Bombyx mori: one gene and its partners. The protein of the gene in region 3 purifies or fractionates together with the protein of the main gene of each other region. This does not show direct contact. Links are inferred from orthologs where the notes say so. Each region holds a gene or a part of one and is shown on either strand. Other genes may lie near its edges. The genes, in order: calcyclin-binding protein, protein CLEC16A homolog and E3 ubiquitin-protein ligase NRDP1.

Region 1 (7,134 bases), on a different chromosome or scaffold from region 3:
GTCAGTAGATTGGTCAAGTATCATAACGTTCATACTTTTTATTAGTAATAATTTCCACGCGTGCTTATTAATCAATCATGTTTCCATTCAATGATTTTGTCTCAGATATTAATTATTTTTTAAAAAGCAATCTTTCGACCTTACAAGTCCACCCAAAAGTACATAGGACATGCAGCCCAGCTCAAAATATACAGAATTCATAAGAAATGTTTCATTAGTGTTAATATTGAGATAAACTTGTACCAAAGCAGCACTTTACTGTGATATTATACAGCTGTGTCCTAAATACATTGGACAAGTCTGTCTGTAATTTTATTTCACTAAGAGTACTATTAAAAGTTTCACTACTACCCACGAATTTAACAGAATTTTGTGATATTGATATTAATCATTGATTCTCCGATTATTAAATCTATATCAGCGATGTCGTAATTCGTTATTTCCACAAAGCCACAATAATGTTGTCTATATGAACATTCACGGGGATGTTCCTAAAGAGGTCGACGAGTATGAGCCTCCAAAACCTCTCATTGTAACCACGGAAGACAATCTTTAATTTTTTTAACTTATCAGCATATGCCACACAGAATATTTAATTTGCTGCCCATGTCTATGTATGCAATGAGACTAGAGCCATTAATTAACACTATTTTTTTTTTGCAAATCTATGCATACGCTGTATGTTGTAAATAAGATATTACTCACTTTTGGGTGTGAAGAGCTGGCCGCATACCATCAGCTAACCGACGTGTGTCCCGGGCGATGGCACACCTCGCAGCGCGGCTCTTTGCAGTTCTTTGTTTCATGACCTTCTCTTCGGCAGGCGTAACATTTCTTTGGTTGAAAGTCGGTCCCTCTTGCAACTGGAGCAACAGCACCTTCTCCATGTGGTAGCCATTCGCGGATGTGTAGTATAGTTGCGGTGGTGTATCGCACAATCCCTAGCCGACCCACGAAGACATATCTGCATGATGAACTGGCAGTCTTTGTTGTCCCATCCATATACGTGATCCAACTGGTCGATCTTGTGCAGCCATCCCTTGACGTTGCTAGATTTTTCATCCGGCCGGAACGTTGGAATAACCTCCGCATCGGTTTGGGTGACACGTCGCATTTTGTATCGCCTGTGTTTCTCAGCGGTCTCAAATTCGTCAATGTATGGGCCTAGCATAATCCCGCTTCTGAAGTATAAACGGATCCTCAGGGTGGCGGTGACAATTGAGACAATTTACATCCACACGAAATAATATATTCTCTTTAGTACACGTTATGGTGGGTAGAATACGAATGCCACCGAGATATGCTAACCGCCGGTATTTATACAATCATCTTGACCTATTTTAATACAAACTGAGTAGGTAATATTAAACATTGTTCATCTTAATTATTCTGCTGATTATTTACGTACAATTATTATTTAATAATATCGAATTATGTAACAAATAACATTAAGGTTTATTGCGCCGGAAGCTGTCAAGCGGAAGGCGCCAATAAAATATAAGTATAAAGAAAATATGAATGAACTATTTACTTGATTATGTAATTACTAATTATATTATAAGAATAATAAGTTCTATATATTTCCTAAGTTCGTAAATAATTTATTATGTGAGGCCGGAAGTGTTGCTCGATAACAAAACATATTCTTGAACACTGAATGAAAAATTTAAAGTTGTTTTAGTTGTCGATATGTTTATCAAGAGGTACTGTTTCACTGTACTGCAGTGTTAAAGAGATAGAAGCCATCAAGCGTCGCAGTTAGAGAAGGTTGGGCGATAAAATGTTTGCAAAGAGGGCAGAAATAAAACAAACACTGAATCTTTTTAATAATACACGATTTCTTTACTGCTTAACAGAATACAATTCAGAATTTATGCTGAGTTTAGTTTATAAATCCATTATATCAGTTTTCTTACGCTGCTGTCCTTCATACCAAGCCTTGGAGATCATTCTCTTCATTTCATCATCACCAGTTTCATACCTGGAAATTAAATAAATTACCCATGTATTAGAACATAAGAGTAATGATGTTAGAGTATAGTTGTTCTAATTTTTTTTTGTTTAAGATGAGAATGACATTAACAACACAAATGGTCCCCATTAAGCCTGAAAATTAAATGAGAAATACATAAAAACCATATTGGTCATCATATAAACATTGTTAAATGTTTTTCAATCTCAAACAACAAAATCATATACTTAAAATACTGATTTGAGGTATTCTCAGGCATCTGTTAGCATAAAGTATTCTTCATTGGAAAGGAACCAAGAAAGTTTTGAGTAACCTCTTAGAGTATTGATGTTAAAGATACATACATACTATTAATGTAATATTAATTAAGTATCCATTAATTTCTAGTTAAATAAATAGTACTCACATATTCTTCATGAGACTCATTATGGAATCTTGTGGATCTTTCTTGTCAGTTTCGGCAGGTTTCAAGCGGTTATTACGTTGGTCTTCAAATTTTTTTTCAATTTCAGTCATATGAGACCATGTTGTGTTTGGATTAGATTTTGCAAGGAATATGACTACCTTATCTGCGAAAAGAAATGTTATTATTGTCAAATGCCTTATTAGCATAGATATTCTTTTGTTATTTGAGCCATTTTAAATAACAAATGAAGCATGTTTGAAAAGGTAATCGTCAACAATGTGAATGAAAAACCAGAGTATACGTATATTTTTTATTAATTAATTATATTTATTACCTGTTTTTTGTTTCCAATGACTGTCTGCCACATTTATAGGTTCCAATAACTTGTTAATAACAAGCAAGTAATCTTTATTTTCCAGATTGTCCACATGCAGCTCCATTGATTTATCTGTCAATTTACAATATACCTGTTCCTTTGGTAGTGTATGAACATTCTTTAGTTCAACAAATACCTTAACAAATTTATCCGACTGGTCCCAACCTACAAATACAAAATTTGATCATTACGATTTCATTGTAATATCCACAGTTCAATAGGTAAACTTGAGAAAAAATAAATTAATTATATGAGGTGAATGAGCTTTTGTCCCACCTGATGGTGAAAAAGTAGCTGCTGTTCAGAGGTAGCAATTTGAATGCTGCATATATCTTGAGACATGAGGTCAAATTCTCAACTGTATTGTAAACTATCTTATTCTTCAAACCAGGAAGAATTACTGGTCTGCTACAGAAATAGACCAGATGTTGGTACTTTGTATAGTAAGGTAAGTACCACGACCCTATCTATTTCTGCTTTGAAGAAGTAATGCGTTTTGGTTTGAAAGCTTGGGTAGCTATTGTACAATAAACACTGAAAATTAGTATGTCTCAAGGTAAGTAGAGGCATTTATATTGTTGATATTTATGGGCTCTGGTAGCCACATAACACCAATGAAGCATGAACTCATTCACTAATGTAAGCTATAAAAAAACTTATGAAGTTTTATAATGTACCTTACTAGCATTTGCTCATTCGCAGCTCTTAATTGCCTTTTAGAACATTTACAAAAATAGATGGGGTGGTGTTATTCTACACTGATATAACAGGGGTTCCCAAACCCATTTTGTCTACTGCCCAGTTTGTTAATAAATTATTTTTTAGCACTCCTATTTTTTCACCTACTTAAAAACCACTATAACCTATGACTCATCTGGTGTTTAAGTCTTCCTAGATGAAATTACAAATCGCCTCCCAAGCCCCTAATCAATGCCCCCATTTTTTTCTGGGTCTCTCACCGCCCCCCTTTAAGCCTGCAGTGCCCACAAGGGGGCGTTATCTCCCACTTTGGGAAAGGCTGGTCTACAAAGTAATTCAAGCTAGTGGCGATTTTGGTTTTTTATTACTTCTCATAGGATAAAACTATTGAGCTTGTATTGAGTCTCTTTGTTGTCTCTCTATGTAAGAAATTTAAGACCTTTTTCAGGTACAGACAAAGTTATCAGTTTGTGACGTATACTTACTTAGCTTTACATATAATATATACATATATATTTTTAAGCTATAAGAATTAATAGGTTAGACCATTTATGCAGAACATTCTGATAAACATACACTATAGACTCACTTATTTAAGGATTTAGGGAACTTATCTCTTTTCGCACAAGGTTGGCCATAGGAGCTGTAAATAACAAGTCTCATCTACAGAGACTTCTAGATATATTAATATGATTCTAAATTACTGACCATATACATTCAATTTGACTTGATACTTCTTTTGCACTGGAGCTGATGTACTTGTTGTGGGTATTGGTGATACTTCCATGGGCGTCAAAGTTTCCTTTTCTTTTAATGTTATTAGTTCTGTCTCAAGTTTTCTGATCTCCAAGGAGAGTAAATCCTGTACTTTCTTACGTTTAGCTTGCTTTAACAGATCATTGATCTCTTCGATATCGCTTCTTATCTGAAAAAATTGCAATGAAGGTTACATTGAATTTCCATTCATTGTCTTTAATGAATTACTGATTTATTTTACTTGATTTACATTGATGATTACATTGATTTACTGAATGTAGTGATGGGTGATTAATACCTCTTGTATTTTTGCTTCTGACATTTTTATAAATGAACAGTTTGTTTGTATGCTGTGCAAATCTTTTGAAATCACAAATAAGCACGTTAATCAGCTATTTTGAAGTCCAGTAACGTAGATTATTTATATTAGAACAGTAAGCCAATGATCTCGCTCGAGCTCTCGATTACTCTCGAACGTCATAGAACGATTTTTTTAAGGATTTTATGACCTGGTAATGAAGACTTTTAAGTCATGTCTTATTTTTAGTTATTTTCTTATACTTATCTAAAAATGAGGAGCGAAATGAAATGAAAATGATTAATTTGAGACATTAATCAACTGGGATAAAATGAAATGATTTGGGATGAAATATAATCTTAGTAAAATGGTGGTCATTTAGAGTCACTGAGATTTTTAGTGGAGTTTTTGGAGGATCCCGAGAAGTTACGACCAGTGGCTGAAACAAAGCCACAGTTCTTCCAAATTTGTGCGCTTTCACAGATATTAAACAGTTAATAAACCACCGTTATTACACATTTAAACCTGAAGAAACACTGAATAGACAAAATAAAACAAATCATACCACTTCACTCCTCGCGTTTCCGCCAAAAAGTCCCTCATAAAGCGAAATCGGTATAGTTGCCAGTTAAATCGGTATATATGTACCCAAAATCGGTATTTAATAAAAAAATACAATATTCAATAAAATTCGTTGATTTATTGAAAAAAAACTTACAGACTAATTTATAACAATCATTCTATGTATAATTATTTTTTATACCAATATTTTTGGCCATAGGCACGGTCTTCTTCGACTTAATTTCAAAATCATAACAATTGGCTGTATTAAAATCGTTTTGCATTAAATAGACCAGTGATTGATTCAGTAGGCAGCCTATTTTGCTGTTTTGTTTTCAAAAGATTAATATGTGAAAATATGCGTTCAACGTTAGCGGATGAATGGGGAAGTGATAAAATATTAAAAATGAAATTAGACAACAAAGGAAACCGACTATTTAGTATCCAGCCTGGAAATTCTTCTTCCCATTCTTTTCTTTAATATTGTACATATTTTTCTCTTCTTACACTTGCACTTGTGCTTGTTGGCACCTCATCAGATATTTGAACTTAATAATCTCGTTTTGTAGGCGCTCTTTATAGAGTAAGATCCCAGGGCCCCCAGATGTCACGTATTTTCTGATTATTTAATTTTTTAACTAATTTTCTTTTAATATTAATAATTAATTGATATGAGTCAACTGTAAGAGAGAGATAGAGAAGTCAATATATCCTAATACATGTCTCACTCAGTCTCATGCGCGTGGATAATGCGCTCTCGCGCTCTTATCCACAGAGGTATTAAATTGAATTTAGGGGATGATTGGCCCCTTGGATCGGTCTGTCTTTTTGTAACAGGTTTTAAAATAGTTGTCTGGTGGACATATATAAAAATCAGCTTTCAGAATTTACATGAAGTAAGGTCATTATTTTGGGAGCTTTAAAGCGTCTGCAAAGCACTTCGGCCGACGGAAAGTGTCTGAGAGTATTGGCGACTTATTTTTAATATTAAAAGAAAATCGTTAAAAATTAAATAAACAGGTAAATAATTAAAAATTAATTTGTAAAAAAATGCTCATTTGACTACCATTATTCTTGAATTTTATCCTCCCGGGTAAAAAAAAATATATTTAATTATGTATAGTTAGGCAGCGGCTTGGCTCTGCCCCTGGCATTGCTGAAGTCCATGGGCGACGGTAACCACTCACCATCAGGTGGGCCGTGTACTCGTCTGCCTACTAAAGAAATAAAAAAAAATATACGAAATCGAAAAAAATCATTACGTTACATATATAAAAATAGGGCCAATTCCCATATATAATTTGAGTAATTATTTACCTGATTGTTTAATTTTTAACTGATTTTCTTTTAATATTAATAATTAATTGATATGAGTCAACTGTGAGATATAGAGAGACAGAGAGGTCAATATATCCTAATACATGTCTCACTCAGTCTCATGCGCCACAGGGTATTAAATTGAATCTAAGGGATGATTGGCCCTTTAGAGCATCTGCAAAGCAATTCGGCCGACGGAAAGTGTCTGGGAGTATTGGCGACTTATTTTTAAGGATATTGCCTAAAATATACGTAAAAATCAGCTTTCAGAAGATACGTGAAGTAGGTCATGATTTTATGTACCTTGAGTACCTGATACCTGAAAATTGGCCGTCTAAGCAAGGTAGCAGGTAGGCATGCGTTCTTAGTACATACTAACACTACGCAATCGCCCACATTTCGTTCGAAACTTCGATCAATAATACTACTAGATTCGCGATTAACGCTTCAAAAACGGCCCGAAAAATAAGACCACAAATTTATTTGTGGTCTTATTTCAAATTAGTATGGTCCAATCATAGCCAACATTAAGACGTCAAAACGCTGCACTGCGCGTTCAAAAACTGAGTAAAAAACTACCGTAACACCAAGGTTTTGGAAGGAATATCTTTTTTTGGTAAGTTTATATTATAAAACGAATTTCATAAAATAATAAAAAGAATTATATAGTAAATAAAATTCAATTTACGAATATTGTCATTGTTTGGCCAATGCTTGCAACAAGGCACCAACTATTGTAACAAACATCA
Region 2 (6,345 bases), on a different chromosome or scaffold from region 3:
TTTTCCACTTTGCTTCAGGTGATCTGTTCGCTGTTTCGCTTCGACTAGTTCCGATTACTAACTGACTGCGTTCCTCACGACTTCGACGCTTTTATAGTCGTTACGACATCCCTAGATTTATCGACAACATTCTTCACAAGTCGAGTAACTTCGATGTGTTTCCGCTATCAGACAACAGATGGCGTTGTACTTCTCGAGCGTTCTTGACGTTACTAGCTCCTTTGATATTCGTTTCAACTATTCGGCGATAGGTGGCGTTACTCTTACCGGCGTAGCAATATAATGGATTTTTTATTTAATACGTGTTAAAAGATCAACGGACGACATCATGCCAAACGTAGCTAGGTATAGTCAACCTATCTCGTGCTAAGGCCTTTTTTCTTTACGAAAACAAATTTGGCAAATACGAGAAACAGATTACATTAAATAAAGATCGAACATAGCTGTAACTGTAAAGTAAATGTAACTGCAACTGTAACTGTAAAGTACTTAAAAATAAAAATAAAAGGATTCCCATCTGGTACGACCGATAAATACTTTCTTTAAAATCAAATGAACATTTGACTATTGGCATACCACCGTAAGGTTTCATTTTGAGGAAATTGTAGTTTAAATAATTCTTATACGTTCGTTTATATCTTTTAATATGGACGAAATTATACAGTCCATTTTAAGTGCTCACATTGAATAGTTTCTTGACATTAAATTGTCATGATAATATGATGATATTAATTTATCCCTAACGGGAAAGGCAAAGGACTTTAGTCCATACAGCCAGGTGTCATGATAATAATGAACATGACGCGACGTGACGGTTCTCAAACTTTGCAGCTGAAATCTTTTTTGTTATTAAGTGAATTATTATTTATATCTTCCAATTACATTTATCTGCGGTACGACATTTGGAGTCGCGGCGCTGGTGGAGGCGACGTTCCTCCGTATATCTTCGAGTGGTATTTCCTCTTGGTGGCCCCTCGGAGATCCCTCTCGGGAACCGCTGCTTCCTCTCGACACGCTACTGGAATGGCAACACATAGTGTCAATACACCTGTTTGACTATATTAACAAAATAATAAAAAGCTGCCAAACAGATATTTATTGAAATTTATTTAGTATGCTCAAAAGAAAATTGCAGTTTTATCTAATAATATTATACTAATAGTATAATTTATATATTTATATTTAATAATATTATACTAATAGTATAATTTATATATTAATATTTAATAATATTATACTAATAGTTAATATTTATTAAGAATCACACAGTTGTGAAAGGAATTAAATACAACTCATCTATTTAGGAAATAATTTTAATTGGTGTAGAGTTATAAAAAATAGAAAGAGAGCATAATTAATTTTAGTAGAGTTTGGAGGACAGGGGTGGTCTACAGAAAATCATTTTTGAAATATATTGTATGACCGACGTGTAAAATGACGTCATTGTTCAATTTAACGTAGTACAATATCAATGTCTAACACTAGGCATTACAGTAACAAAGTCGTTTGATAAATGCATTTAGCGAGAAGATATACATAATATTATTTATTATCTTTAATGATTATAAGTTGCGTACGCAAATTGAGTATCAGTTAAGAGAGACTTGATTTAGGCATACTTTAAAAGTTAAATTTGAATTCAACAGGTGTGGGTGTGTACCGACCTCTCTCTGCTCGTGGTTCGTTCTCGATAGACGACGATGCCGTCTTTCAGTAAGTGACCGCTCGGCCTTCGGAGCCTCCGCTCTGAGTCGTCGCCGTCGCCTCCTTTATGGAAATTTCAAGGTTACATAGGGTACTTTAGTGCATGACTTTTTGGCGGGAACGTGAGGAGTGAAGTTGTGTGATTTGTTTTATTTTGCCTATTTAGTGTTTTTTCGGGTTTAAATGTGTAATAATGGTGGTTTATTAACTGTTTAATATTTGTGAAAGTGAACAAATGTGGGAAAATGAAACAAAGCCGCTGGACGTAACTTCTCGGGATCCTCCAAAAAGTCCACTGATAAAATCTTAGTAAATGACCACAATTTTACTGAGATTATATTTCATGCCATATCATCTCATTTCATTTCATTTCATTTAATCCCAGTTGATTCATGTCTCAAATTAATCATCTTCATTTCATTTCACTCCATAATATCATTTTTCATAAAAATATGAATATAAATTAAAATAAGACATGGCTTAAAGGTCTCAGTTACCAGGTCATAAAATCCCTTAAAAAAAATACTTTAGTGCATCGAGCAAACGCTCGTGCGATGAACAAGGTTGTTTGCTCTTTGACTGGCTTTTTATCTTTACTAGTGGTCCCGCAGTAGTCGTAATTCGACTATAATTCATTGAAATTATAGTTTGAACATTATTATAGTTCTATTGTCAAAGACTATTATACTTCTATAATCAAAGATTTCGCCAAGACTACACTTTAGACAAATAATAGCAAAGACAAAAAATATTAAATCTATTCTCGATTTGACCATAGATAGACTTTATGCAATAAGAAAAGTTTGACCATAAACAAATAGTACGCATGTGTGTGTGTGTCAAATACATGTTTTTTTTTTTTATTGCTTAGATGGGTGGACGAGCTCACAGCCTTCTCTATATTCTCTATAAGTGTGGGAAATTTCATACTCCACCGTCTGCGCAATTTTCGTAAAAAGGGGTACAAAGTTCTTGCTTCACGTATTAATATATAGATATATGTCGGAGACGGTCAATAGTTTGGTAGCTAAACGAAACGCAGCACGATTCCCGAGAGATGGCAGCACGAAAACTTACTAATTTTACAGGAGAGTGTTTTAAAGTGTGTTAAACAACATGTGATATTTTTAATATTAATCATTTTTGCAACATTTATTTTTTATTTTTTACCAGTTACATTATCTGTATTTAAAAGTAAGATAAAATTATCTATTAATTTTGTTAATAGTATTCAAAACAGGAAAACTAAATAAAATAAAAAAACTAAAAACTAAACTACGCTCTTTTGACAGTATTTATGAAAAAAATACTGGTGATAACCAAACGATTCCGCATAATATTAATTATTAAATATTATTAATTTAAAATAAAACGATTCCGCATAATATTAATTATTAAATATTATTAATTTAAAATTAAATATTATTAATAATTAATATTATGCGGAATCGTTTGGTTATCACCAGTATTTTTTTCATAAATACTCTCAAAAGAGCGTAGTTTAGTTTTAGTTTTTTTATTTTATTTAGTTTTCCTGTTCCAAATTCGAAATTGAGTTAATACTCAATTTCGAATTTGGAAATTGTACACTTTCAATGAGAAAAGACGAATTGTGTTTGGATAGAACGTGCAATTGTACGGAACCTGTAGATCTCCTGATCGCCGAGAGGCCGGGGCGGGAGAACAGCGGGCGGGGGCGCGGCGCGGCGGGGGGCGCGGACACTCCCGACACTTCCAGCAGTCGCCCGATCTGCTGCATCTTCTTCTGGCGGGACTTCATGCGACCCTGTCAATTATTTACATCCAGTCAACTCATCAAGGTTCTGATCTTAATCGGAGAGCGATGATTGAAAGATTACTGGTGGCCCGGAGGCCTTTCCAGTTTCACCAGGATAGGTGGGCGAGCAAAGGCTCAATCAGGAGGACTGGGGTTAGCTAGCAACTGCCTGAGTGCCTCCGAAGGAGACATAACAACTGAAAAGCAACTGCTTCGCGAAAGAATCTACTACCGGGTCGGAATCGTGACCCGCTGAGAAGATCCGGCGAGAAACAGCGGGCGGATGCATGGGTTAGGTTACACGTCAAACTCTTTGCCGAGTTCGACGATAACGGTTAATTGATAACTTAATCACTGTACTTTTAAAACAAAGGCTTACATTTCGACTAACTATTCAAAAAATTCTTACATTTTTTATCCATTATCTACGTCAAACTGAATACGGATCATGACGTATTATGTCACTTGTGGCTATTTTTTTTATAGTTTGTTTGCACTCATGTTACGTGCAATGGGGATGCGTTAAGAGCCGCGACCCTTGTAAATTTACTGAGCCTACATTTCTAATGTAAACACCAACTTGAAATCAAACTTAACTTTCTCAGTTTAACATTGTGTTTACAATTTTCTTTTTTTATAATACCGTATAAATCATTAAATTTATTAAATGTCAAATATTTATAAAAAAAAGAACATAATATTCCTAACCTAAAAGTACATGTTATTATCCGCAACACGCTTCGTCAGATTACAGAAATAGAGTTATCAGCTCTTAAGGTGCTTCGTCAAAAAGTACAATACTTACTTTCAGCTGCAAGCGTCGTCATAAGTAACATATAGATCCACGCTAACAGCAATGCGCGCGTAGGCGTCGGCTAGTCAAACATCAGTAAGTAATATTAACTTAGTATATATCGTATACCTTAATGAGCCTCTGTTTGGCCGCCATGCTGCGTATGTAGTCGTCGAACTTGAACTTGGCCCGCAGCAGTAGCGTCCTGGGAAGCGCGCCCGTCGCGCCCACCCGCGGCTTGTGGATGGTCAGGTGGAGGCACCGCGGATCTTCCTTATCGCCTTGGATCTGAACAGACGGTGGGTAGGATCTCTTATGAGTCCGCACAGGTAGGTACCACCACCCTGCTGTGAAGCAGTAGTGCGTTTCGGTTTGAAGGGCGGGGCAGCCGTTGTAACTATACTTGAGATCTTAGAACTTATATCTCAAGGTAGGTGGCGCATTTACGTTCTAGATGTCTATGGGCTCCGGTAACCACTTAACAGCGTGGACTGTGAGCTCGTCAACCCATCTAAGCTATTTAAAAAAAGCGCATATTAAAGATACACGCGATATCAACTCGAACAAGGGCTATTTCGTTTTTCTTCGCCATTCGCAAGTCGTAAAGCATTCGAAACGTCGAAAATAATAACAATAAAAACGCGAGATCAATTGTCATTAATTGAATAACATTTTTTTGTTTTTAATTATTATCATTTTAATCTACTCTACTCCTATTCCGGAAATATTTAGATCTATTAATACACATTTAAGATTAATCAGACGTCTTAGAATGAAACCTATATATACTTCACATTTACAGATGTTGATTTCACATTAACAAGTTTGGGGTTGCCAGTACTCATAATTAAAAAAGTGTTACCAATTGTCGATTAAAAAAAATTTATTACGGATTTCTTCGACGTACCTAAACGTTTTCATTCCATCAAAGTTACCTCCAAATCCTGAAGGCTGCCCACCAGTTTGGCGACTCCCCACCCGAGCCTCTGTTTGTCCGGCTCGACGAGTATTATCTGCATGTTGTCGACGGCTAAGAACCTGTGCTGCCACGTACCATCCTTCTGTATTATGTCGCACGATATCAGATCGGAATCGTCTGCAAAATTCAATACTCATTACAACTATACATATTTATTATCTATACTTAATATTATAAAGCTGAAGAGTTTGTTTGTTTGAACACGTTAATCTCAGGAACTAGTGGTCCGATTTGAAGAATTATTTCAGTGTTAGATAGCCTATTTATTAAGGAAGTCTATAGGCTATATAACATTACGCTAAGGCCAATACAAGCGGAGCATCAATAAGAATGTTTCAAAATCGGGTTTTTTTCCCTTTTTAAGAGCTTCCGCTGCATACGCTGCAGAAACGGTTAAAGTTTCGCTAAAACAATGTATGACAGAATTGCTCCCCTTTAAAAGATTTTAAAAAAAGTCTGCGACGGCATATGTTTATATGTTAAGGTTGGCTCACTATAACGTTTTTTATGCTAACCAAATTTGTTCTAAAATAAAGCATTATTTGTGAACTATTCCACGCGAACGAAGTCGTGGGCAAAAGTTAGTTAATTATAAAAGCTACTTAAGTACATTTAATCACAAATAGGCAGGATGTTTTTATTTAAGCGTTTCCGTTCCATCGGACAAAACCCGGTGAACCCAGAAAAAAACAATTAAATGCCCAAAACACCCTCCTTTTTACTAATACAAGTGTTCGCACATGATCTTGCACGAGAATGTACCAATACGCTGCTTCGGCATAAAGGCACTGGTGCGTTCCGGTTTCAATATTGGCAACGCCATTCACCCAATGACCGCCTAACTGTAAATACTCCGAAAATCTAACGCAAAGCTTCTTTGTCTTGTTTTCGTAAGACAAAGGTCCTTATATCGTGACGTACGGACCAGATCACTATACCTGTAAACTAAACGACTTACTGAGATCCAAAACGTTGCCGACTTCGACAAACGGTGCCGGGTTCGTCAGAGGCAGTTGGTTTTCTGGTATCCCGCTCAACTTCAAGAACAGGTCTCGTATTAGGAAGAACGATCTTATCGCTCTACGGGCTCTC
Region 3 (6,931 bases):
GCTGATATAATTATTGGCCATGACGTCCTCGAAGAACATTCATCGCTAGAGTTCTCTTTCGGTGGGCCAAAACATCCACTTCAAGTATGTAACGTAGCTGAAGCATCAGTACCAGCTGTACCGCTTTTTGCGAATGTATCTCCCAACTGCAAACCTATTGCTATAAAGTCTCGAAGGCACAACAAAGAGGATAGTGAATTTATTAAAGAAGAAATCAGAAATCTTATAGCAGAGGGCGTGATTGAAGAAAGTAAATCACCGTGGAAGGCCCAAGTACTAATAACAAAAAGCGAAACTCATAAAAAACGCCTTGTAATTAATCAATTACAAGGCGTTCTTCAGTAATCACTCTCAGACAATTAATCGTTACATAGAACTCGACGCGTATCCTTTACCAAACATTGAGGACTTAGTTTCGAAAGTGGCAAAGAATATATTTTTCAGCCTAATAGACCTAAAAAACGCGTACCATCAAGTACCTATACTACCCGAAAAAAGAAAATTTATCGCTTTTGAAGCACTGGGAAATTTGTACCAGTTCAGGCGTATTCCTTTTGGAGTAACAAATGGTGTTTCGAGCTTCCAACGAACAATCGATTGGATTATAAGAAAAGAGAAGCTTCAAAACACATATGCGTATCTTGATGATATAACTATTTCTGGCCGTACTCTTGAAGAACACGATCATAACTTAGAAAGTTTTATGAATGCCGCAAAGAAATACGGTTTAACACTGAGTATACAAAAATGCAAATTTTCTCAAAAGTCAATTAATATTCTAGGCTATAATATTCAAAACCACATAATTAAACCTGACAATGAGCGACTCAAGCCACTGATTAATTTACCTCCACCAAGCGATTTACCGACCTTAAGAAGGACACTCGGCATGTTCGCACATTATTCTAAGTGGATTCCAAAATTTTCTGAACGGATCCACTCACTTGCTAATACGACGATTTTTCCACTCGCAAGCGAGCAAATTAAATGTTTCGAAGGCTTGAAAAATGATATCGTAAAGTCTTCTATACATGCAATTGATGAAAATATACCTTTTACAGTGGAAACTGACGCTTCCAATCATTCCATTGCAGCAGTACTTACGCAAAATTCTAGACCAGTGGCGTTTTTCTCAAGAACGTTAAATTCAAGCGAACAAAACCATTCCGCCATTGAAAAAGAAGCGTACGCCATTGTGGAATCATTGAAGAAATGGACACATTTCCTTATTGGTAGACACTTTAAGTTGGTAACTGACCAATGCTCGGTTTCTTTTATGTTTAATATGAAACATTCAAGTAAGATAAAGAATGAAAAGATTCAAAGATGGCGACTGGAACTTGCTGCTTTCAAATACGATATTATATACAAACCGGAGAAAGAGAACTATGCTGCTGATGCACTATCCCGAGTTTGTGCCACTGTAGAAACACGTACTGCAAAACTTTTCTCGCTGCATGAAGCTCTTTGTCATCCAGGGGTAACAAGAATGTTTCACTGGGTTCGCTCTAAAAACCTTCCCTATTCTATTGAAGAAGTCAGAACAATGACAAAATCTTGTCGAACCTGCTCTGAAATAAAACATAGATTCTTCCGAAATACCTTTGATGACCAGAGGAAACTTGTTAAAGCGACGGCTGCTTTTGAACGCCTTAGCATAGATTTTAAAGGACCAGTTCCAACAAATAATAATAACAAATTCATACTTACCGTGATTGACGAATTTTCACGTTTCCCGTTTGCATTCCCATGCTCAGATGTAAGCTCGAAAACAGTGATTAAGCATCTTAACAACTTGTTTATGATATTTGGGATGCCTTCTTACGTTCAATCAGATCGCGGAACAGCATTTCTTTCTGCTGAAGTACAGGAATTTTTACATGTTCGAGGTATTGCCACTAGTAGAACTACAGCTTATAACCCTCAAGGTAACGGTCAAGTAGAAAAATTGAATTCTACTCTTTGGAGAACGATTCTTTTGGCGCTGAAGACGAAGAATCTTTCGGTAGAAAATTGGGAACAAGTATTACCACAAGCCTTACATTCAATCCGATCATTACTTTGTACAACCATAAATTGCACTCCACATGAAAGAATGTATAGACACCCTCGAAGATCTACAAACGGCACTTCTGTTCCATCGTGGCTTACAAATTCTGGACAAGTCTTGATGAAGAAATTTAATCGTACAAATAAATATCAGCCATTAGTAGAAGAGGTTGAATTGATACACAGCAATCCTGATTTTTCATACATTCGGCTTCCAGATGGCCGAGAAACAACAGTGTCGAATCATCATCTAGCACCATTGGGTTCAGAAAGGGTAGATCTGCGAATAGATAATGAACACACTATTGATTATCATAACGTCGCAGAACCACTTCCGGAAACAGAAGACCAAAACTTGGAGATTCCTTCATCTAATAAAACGGGACCTGTGGTACTTGATAATAACAGAGAGCTAGAGACAGAATTACCATCATCACCACCGCCGGAGCCAACACTTCGTAGATTTGGTCGCGTCCATAAAACGCCAGGATTTTTAAAAGATTATGTTTTAAAATAGTGCGGGAGAATGATGTAAACTTCTTAGTTGAAATTATCAGCCATAAGTTGACGTCATTGTCAATCTGTTTTATTCGTTATTTGTCAATGTACCTAATGTAATCAAAGCAAATTTTACTGTTAATTTTAGCTTATTAAAACCTTATATTTAGTAAAGGTTTTCTCTTATTACAGGGCTCTTGTGCTGTAATTGGAAAACGGCCATTTAGTTTTTTGAACCTGATAGCACCGATTAATAAAACAGCTTTTGTACTGGCCTAAAGGTCTAATAGATACCAGGTCATAAAATTAAAAAAAAAAAAGCTTTTGTACAGTAAACCTGAGTCTCTAATATATTAAGTGTATAATCTATGAACCTGAGTAAACCAAATCTATACGTCTGACTGTAAATAATTAGTTTATTTTCAACTTATCTGAACTCAAACCTTGTTTTTTACTATAGTATGATCATAAAAAGTTAACTTTAAGATACCAAAATCTTACTAATGTATATTTTGTGATAAATATTAATTATGGGCTTTGAAATCAAAAGGTTTCAAGGTGACGTCGATGAGGAGCTTATTTGTCCTATTTGTTCCGGAGTCCTCGAAGACCCGTTACAGGTAAATAATAGCAAGATGAGTGCAAAATATAACAAAAGTTGTGGTTAGAGTGACAATTGTGATGATTCCAGGCGCCTGCTTGTGAGCACGCGTTTTGTCGAGCTTGTATTACGGAGTGGATCAGTAGACAGCCTACCTGTCCTGTAGACCGGCAAACGGTAACCGCGAGTCAGCTAAGGCCAGTTCCAAGGATACTGCGCAACCTTCTGTCCAGGCGAGTGAATTTCTTTACTAGAATTTGTGAATTTACTGTCTTTTTGTAGGTCAAAAACTTAATTGTTTGACCTTTTATAACTATAATGTTTTCTTCTAGCCACTAATATAGTATTTTTCAATATTTTTATACCTAAAAATTGAGTAGTAACTTTAGTAGTACTGTGTTTTGTACTTTAAACAGTAGTTTAATTAATTTTTAGAATGGATTATAGTCAATAATAAAATGTTCAAATTCATTTTAAAATTATGGTAAACAATAGACTCTTATCAGAAAATATCCGCAAAAATAAAGTAATGAAAAAATTTTTTCCTTTTGATTATTATTCAATAGTAATTATTTAAGCTTTAGGTACAATAACCTTTATCTTAATTATGCAAAGAAAACAATTTCATAATACACATTTAAATTGATTGCTACATTAACTGGAAATGATCTCGTCAACTGACCTAGTTATGTTGTCACCACATTAATAATCAGCACAAAACCAGTTCTCTGGTTACATAATAACATGGTCCTGGTTTTCTATTTATTAGTAACTATGGTCATTCCTGCCACATTGAGTTTTTACTTGAAGAAAAAACATGGATAACAAAAAACCTTTCATAACTAAAAAGGATTGTTTTTCCCTGAAAACTTTTCTTAAATTACTGCAAAATTATGTTTAAAATTTTAAGTAATTGGTTTAAGTGAAATTGCAATCAAAATGTGTTTAGAAGAGATTTGTTTGTTTTTAAATGGTTTGGTTAAATGGTTTTAAATGGTTTATAGAAATATGGCCATATCAATATCCATTCAAGCTCATATTCCAAATTAATGTTATCACACTATGGAAACTAAAAATGGGTTTAGACGTGATCAAAGATGTAAAAACATACCAGGAATACCTATTATATTTGTATATTTATAATCAATTGCCACATTGATTATGGAGTATCAAACACTTGATAGATTTTGCTGTGTTCATAATTATCAGGACCAAGCTTGCTTGAAAGCTTTATTTAGATTTTTTTTTTTTGTGCTTGAAGGTGATTTAGTCTCTGAGTACTTTAACACTCTCTGTACACACTGTAACATCCAGATTCTTTTACATTGTCATTGTAGGTAGATGAGCATATGGCCCACCTTACGGTAATTGATTGTTAGCATGGACATTAGCAATGCTGGTGGCACAGTCAAGTTATAGCTGATCGCTGAGTATCTCTAATTTGTTTGTGGACTGGAGTTCATTCCAGAGTCTTATGCTACATGGCATAAAAGATCTGTGGAAATGCACTTTTGATGAACACAGGAGTTCCAGATAGCATGGATGAACTCCGTTCCGGTGGCCAATGGCCACATCAATGATATGAATGAATGAGAAAAAATGAAACCTGAAATCTTTCAATAATGAAAGTTTTTACTTAATTAGAGTTTAACATCATAATCTTATTCAATTATGTTTTTCAGATTATGCACAAGTTGCGACAATGCTCCACATGGCTGTAATGCCATTTTAAAACTGGACTCTCTACCTAATCATTTAGTTGAATGTAAGTGTTGACTTTTACTATCCTTTTTAGAGTAGACCAGAGCATGCTATGGTATGCATCAGAACAATAATATTTTTTATTGCTAATATGGGTGGACGAGCTCACAGCCCACCTAGTGTTAAGTGGTTACTGGAGCCTATAAACATCTACAACGTAAATGCGCCACTCACCTTGAGATTGAGTTCTAAGGTCTCAAGTATAGTTACAACAGCTGCCCCGACCTTCGAACCGAAACGCATTACTGCTTCATAGCAGAAATAGGCGGGGCGGTGGTACCTACCCGTGCGGACTCACAAGAAGTCTTACCACCTTCCTAAAATTATGCTATATGATGTACATACATCTATGTGGTTTGTAGAGTAAATTTGTAATGTTGGCTATTTATGTTTGATAAAGTAATAGAAAATAAATGTAAGAAAATTAATTAAGACAAATAGGAATTAATACAAAAGATATTGTAATAAAATATGTAGTACAAAGATGATTTAGCTAACTTATTTAAAATAATTTTTAGAGAATACCTCACCTCAAGAATTAGATTCATTTCAATTGCTTGTATATTTTCTTATTTATTTTTTTCTATAAAAAATGAGAAGGAATCTGTTTCCAATAATTTTTTATTTATAACACCAAAGCTTGTATTGACAAGCTACTAAATAAAAACGAAAAGTAAATTGCTGGATAAACAGGGAAAGAACTAAACTGAACATTACTGAACTGTTTTGTCTTCATCTATAGACTATATCTTTAAAGGTGTACTTTAACTAAACTGCCTATCATGGAAATATGTTTTTTAATAGCCATATTTGTATACCAATTGTACTGTAGAGCTTGTCAGTTTTGTAAATCATACATAATTATGATAAGGAAAAAAAAACACCAATATCCAATTATGATATGTGAGATTAGTTTATTGACACATTTCTAAGGCCCATTTCTAATAAGACACACTTTCATTAACTTATTCTTAAAAAGTCGTCTATTTGTGTAAATTATTTTATTTATTGTAATCGAAATTGTAAAAAATATAAACCATAAATAATTTGTTTCTGTTATGAAATTATGTCCGTGTTTGATAATACATGGCTAATAAGATTAATCTGTCGAACAGGTGAATTTAATCCTAAACGACCAATACCTTGTGAGGCAGGATGTGGACTGGTGATACCAAAAGATGAATTAGCCCAACATAATTGTGTACGTGAGCTTAGAGCACTGATAGCCACTCAGCAGGGGAAGCTGAATGATTACCAGCAAGAACTGGCTGAACAGAGGCTCGTTATTAATGAGCACAAACGAGAATTGGCATTATTAAAGGTATGTTTTTTTACTATTTGTAGTTTTTTCTTAAATAACACATTCAATGTAGATTCTTTCTACCTACGTATTACCTACATAAAAAGAAATGTGAACTTTAACATTATGTTAATTTATATTTATAAATATCAGTTAACTTGTTAAAGTTTAAACATAACAAACAATAACTTGGTCTCCTTAAGTTAAAAAATTTCGATTAATCGAATTCTATAAAGCAACCATTAAAATGAGATGCGCAAATCTAACCACTTTTAAATCAGGAACATTTTCTTGAAGGAGTTCATGAGAGCGATGCGCGTGTCGAATCCAACGATGCGTGCATTGGCGGATCAGATGGAGCGCGAGGAGGTGGTGCGCTGGGCCAACTCACTGGCCAGGGCGAGGGTCACCAGGTGGGGTGGCATGATCTCTACTCCAGATGATGTTCTGCAGGTATTATGTACATTTTTTAATAAGATAAAAGTAATTCTCTATAATGTAAGAAAAATTCGTATCAGCTTGCATTATATACAGATCGCAACGCGAGTAGGTACATCGAATGTTTTAGGACTTTTCAAATAATACCTAATCTGGCCACATGGAATCTGGCCACATGGAATCATTGATTTTGAGTCTTTGAAAACCAAAAAATAAGCTATAAAATACTTACAAAAAGCAAGCTCTATAATAACTCACTAATATACTATAAATATAAATATTGA

Evidence for each region.
Region 1: the proteins of E3 ubiquitin-protein ligase NRDP1 (region 3) and calcyclin-binding protein purify together in Homo sapiens (affinity purification with mass spectrometry; 4 studies listed by BioGRID and IntAct, with this or other methods). This does not show direct contact. The link is inferred for Bombyx mori from reciprocal best matches to the Homo sapiens genes RNF41 and CACYBP.
Region 2: the proteins of E3 ubiquitin-protein ligase NRDP1 (region 3) and protein CLEC16A homolog purify together in Homo sapiens (affinity purification with mass spectrometry; 3 studies listed by BioGRID and IntAct, with this or other methods). This does not show direct contact. The link is inferred for Bombyx mori from reciprocal best matches to the Homo sapiens genes RNF41 and CLEC16A.

The regions. Positions count from the first base shown.
Region 1 is NC_085109.1:7,246,129-7,253,262, forward strand, and holds calcyclin-binding protein, read right to left. Parts: upstream 4,709-7,134; 5' UTR 4,532-4,708; coding exon 4,508-4,531; intron 4,379-4,507; coding exon 4,162-4,378; intron 2,920-4,161; coding exon 2,713-2,919; intron 2,542-2,712; coding exon 2,379-2,541; intron 1,982-2,378; coding exon 1,888-1,981; 3' UTR 1,815-1,887; downstream 1-1,814. UniProt on the Homo sapiens protein: May be involved in calcium-dependent ubiquitination and subsequent proteasomal degradation of target proteins. Probably serves as a molecular bridge in ubiquitin E3 complexes. Participates in the ubiquitin-mediated degradation of beta-catenin (CTNNB1).
Region 2 is NC_085123.1:11,735,187-11,741,531, reverse strand, and holds part of protein CLEC16A homolog, read right to left. Parts: coding exon 6,212-6,345; intron 5,371-6,211; coding exon 5,210-5,370; intron 4,563-5,209; coding exon 4,404-4,562; intron 3,491-4,403; coding exon 3,349-3,490; intron 1,768-3,348; coding exon 1,665-1,767; intron 1,019-1,664; coding exon 883-1,018; intron 1-882. UniProt on the Homo sapiens protein: Regulator of mitophagy through the upstream regulation of the RNF41/NRDP1-PRKN pathway. Mitophagy is a selective form of autophagy necessary for mitochondrial quality control.
Region 3 is NC_085128.1:13,443,219-13,450,149, forward strand, and holds the start of E3 ubiquitin-protein ligase NRDP1, read left to right. Parts: upstream 1-2,871; 5' UTR 2,872-3,077; coding exon 3,078-3,167; intron 3,168-3,238; coding exon 3,239-3,381; intron 3,382-4,830; coding exon 4,831-4,913; intron 4,914-5,798; exon of another isoform or gene 5,799-6,024; coding exon 6,025-6,230; exon of another isoform or gene 6,231-6,506; coding exon 6,507-6,665; intron 6,666-6,879; exon of another isoform or gene 6,880-6,931. UniProt on the Homo sapiens protein: Acts as E3 ubiquitin-protein ligase and regulates the degradation of target proteins. Polyubiquitinates MYD88. Negatively regulates MYD88-dependent production of pro-inflammatory cytokines.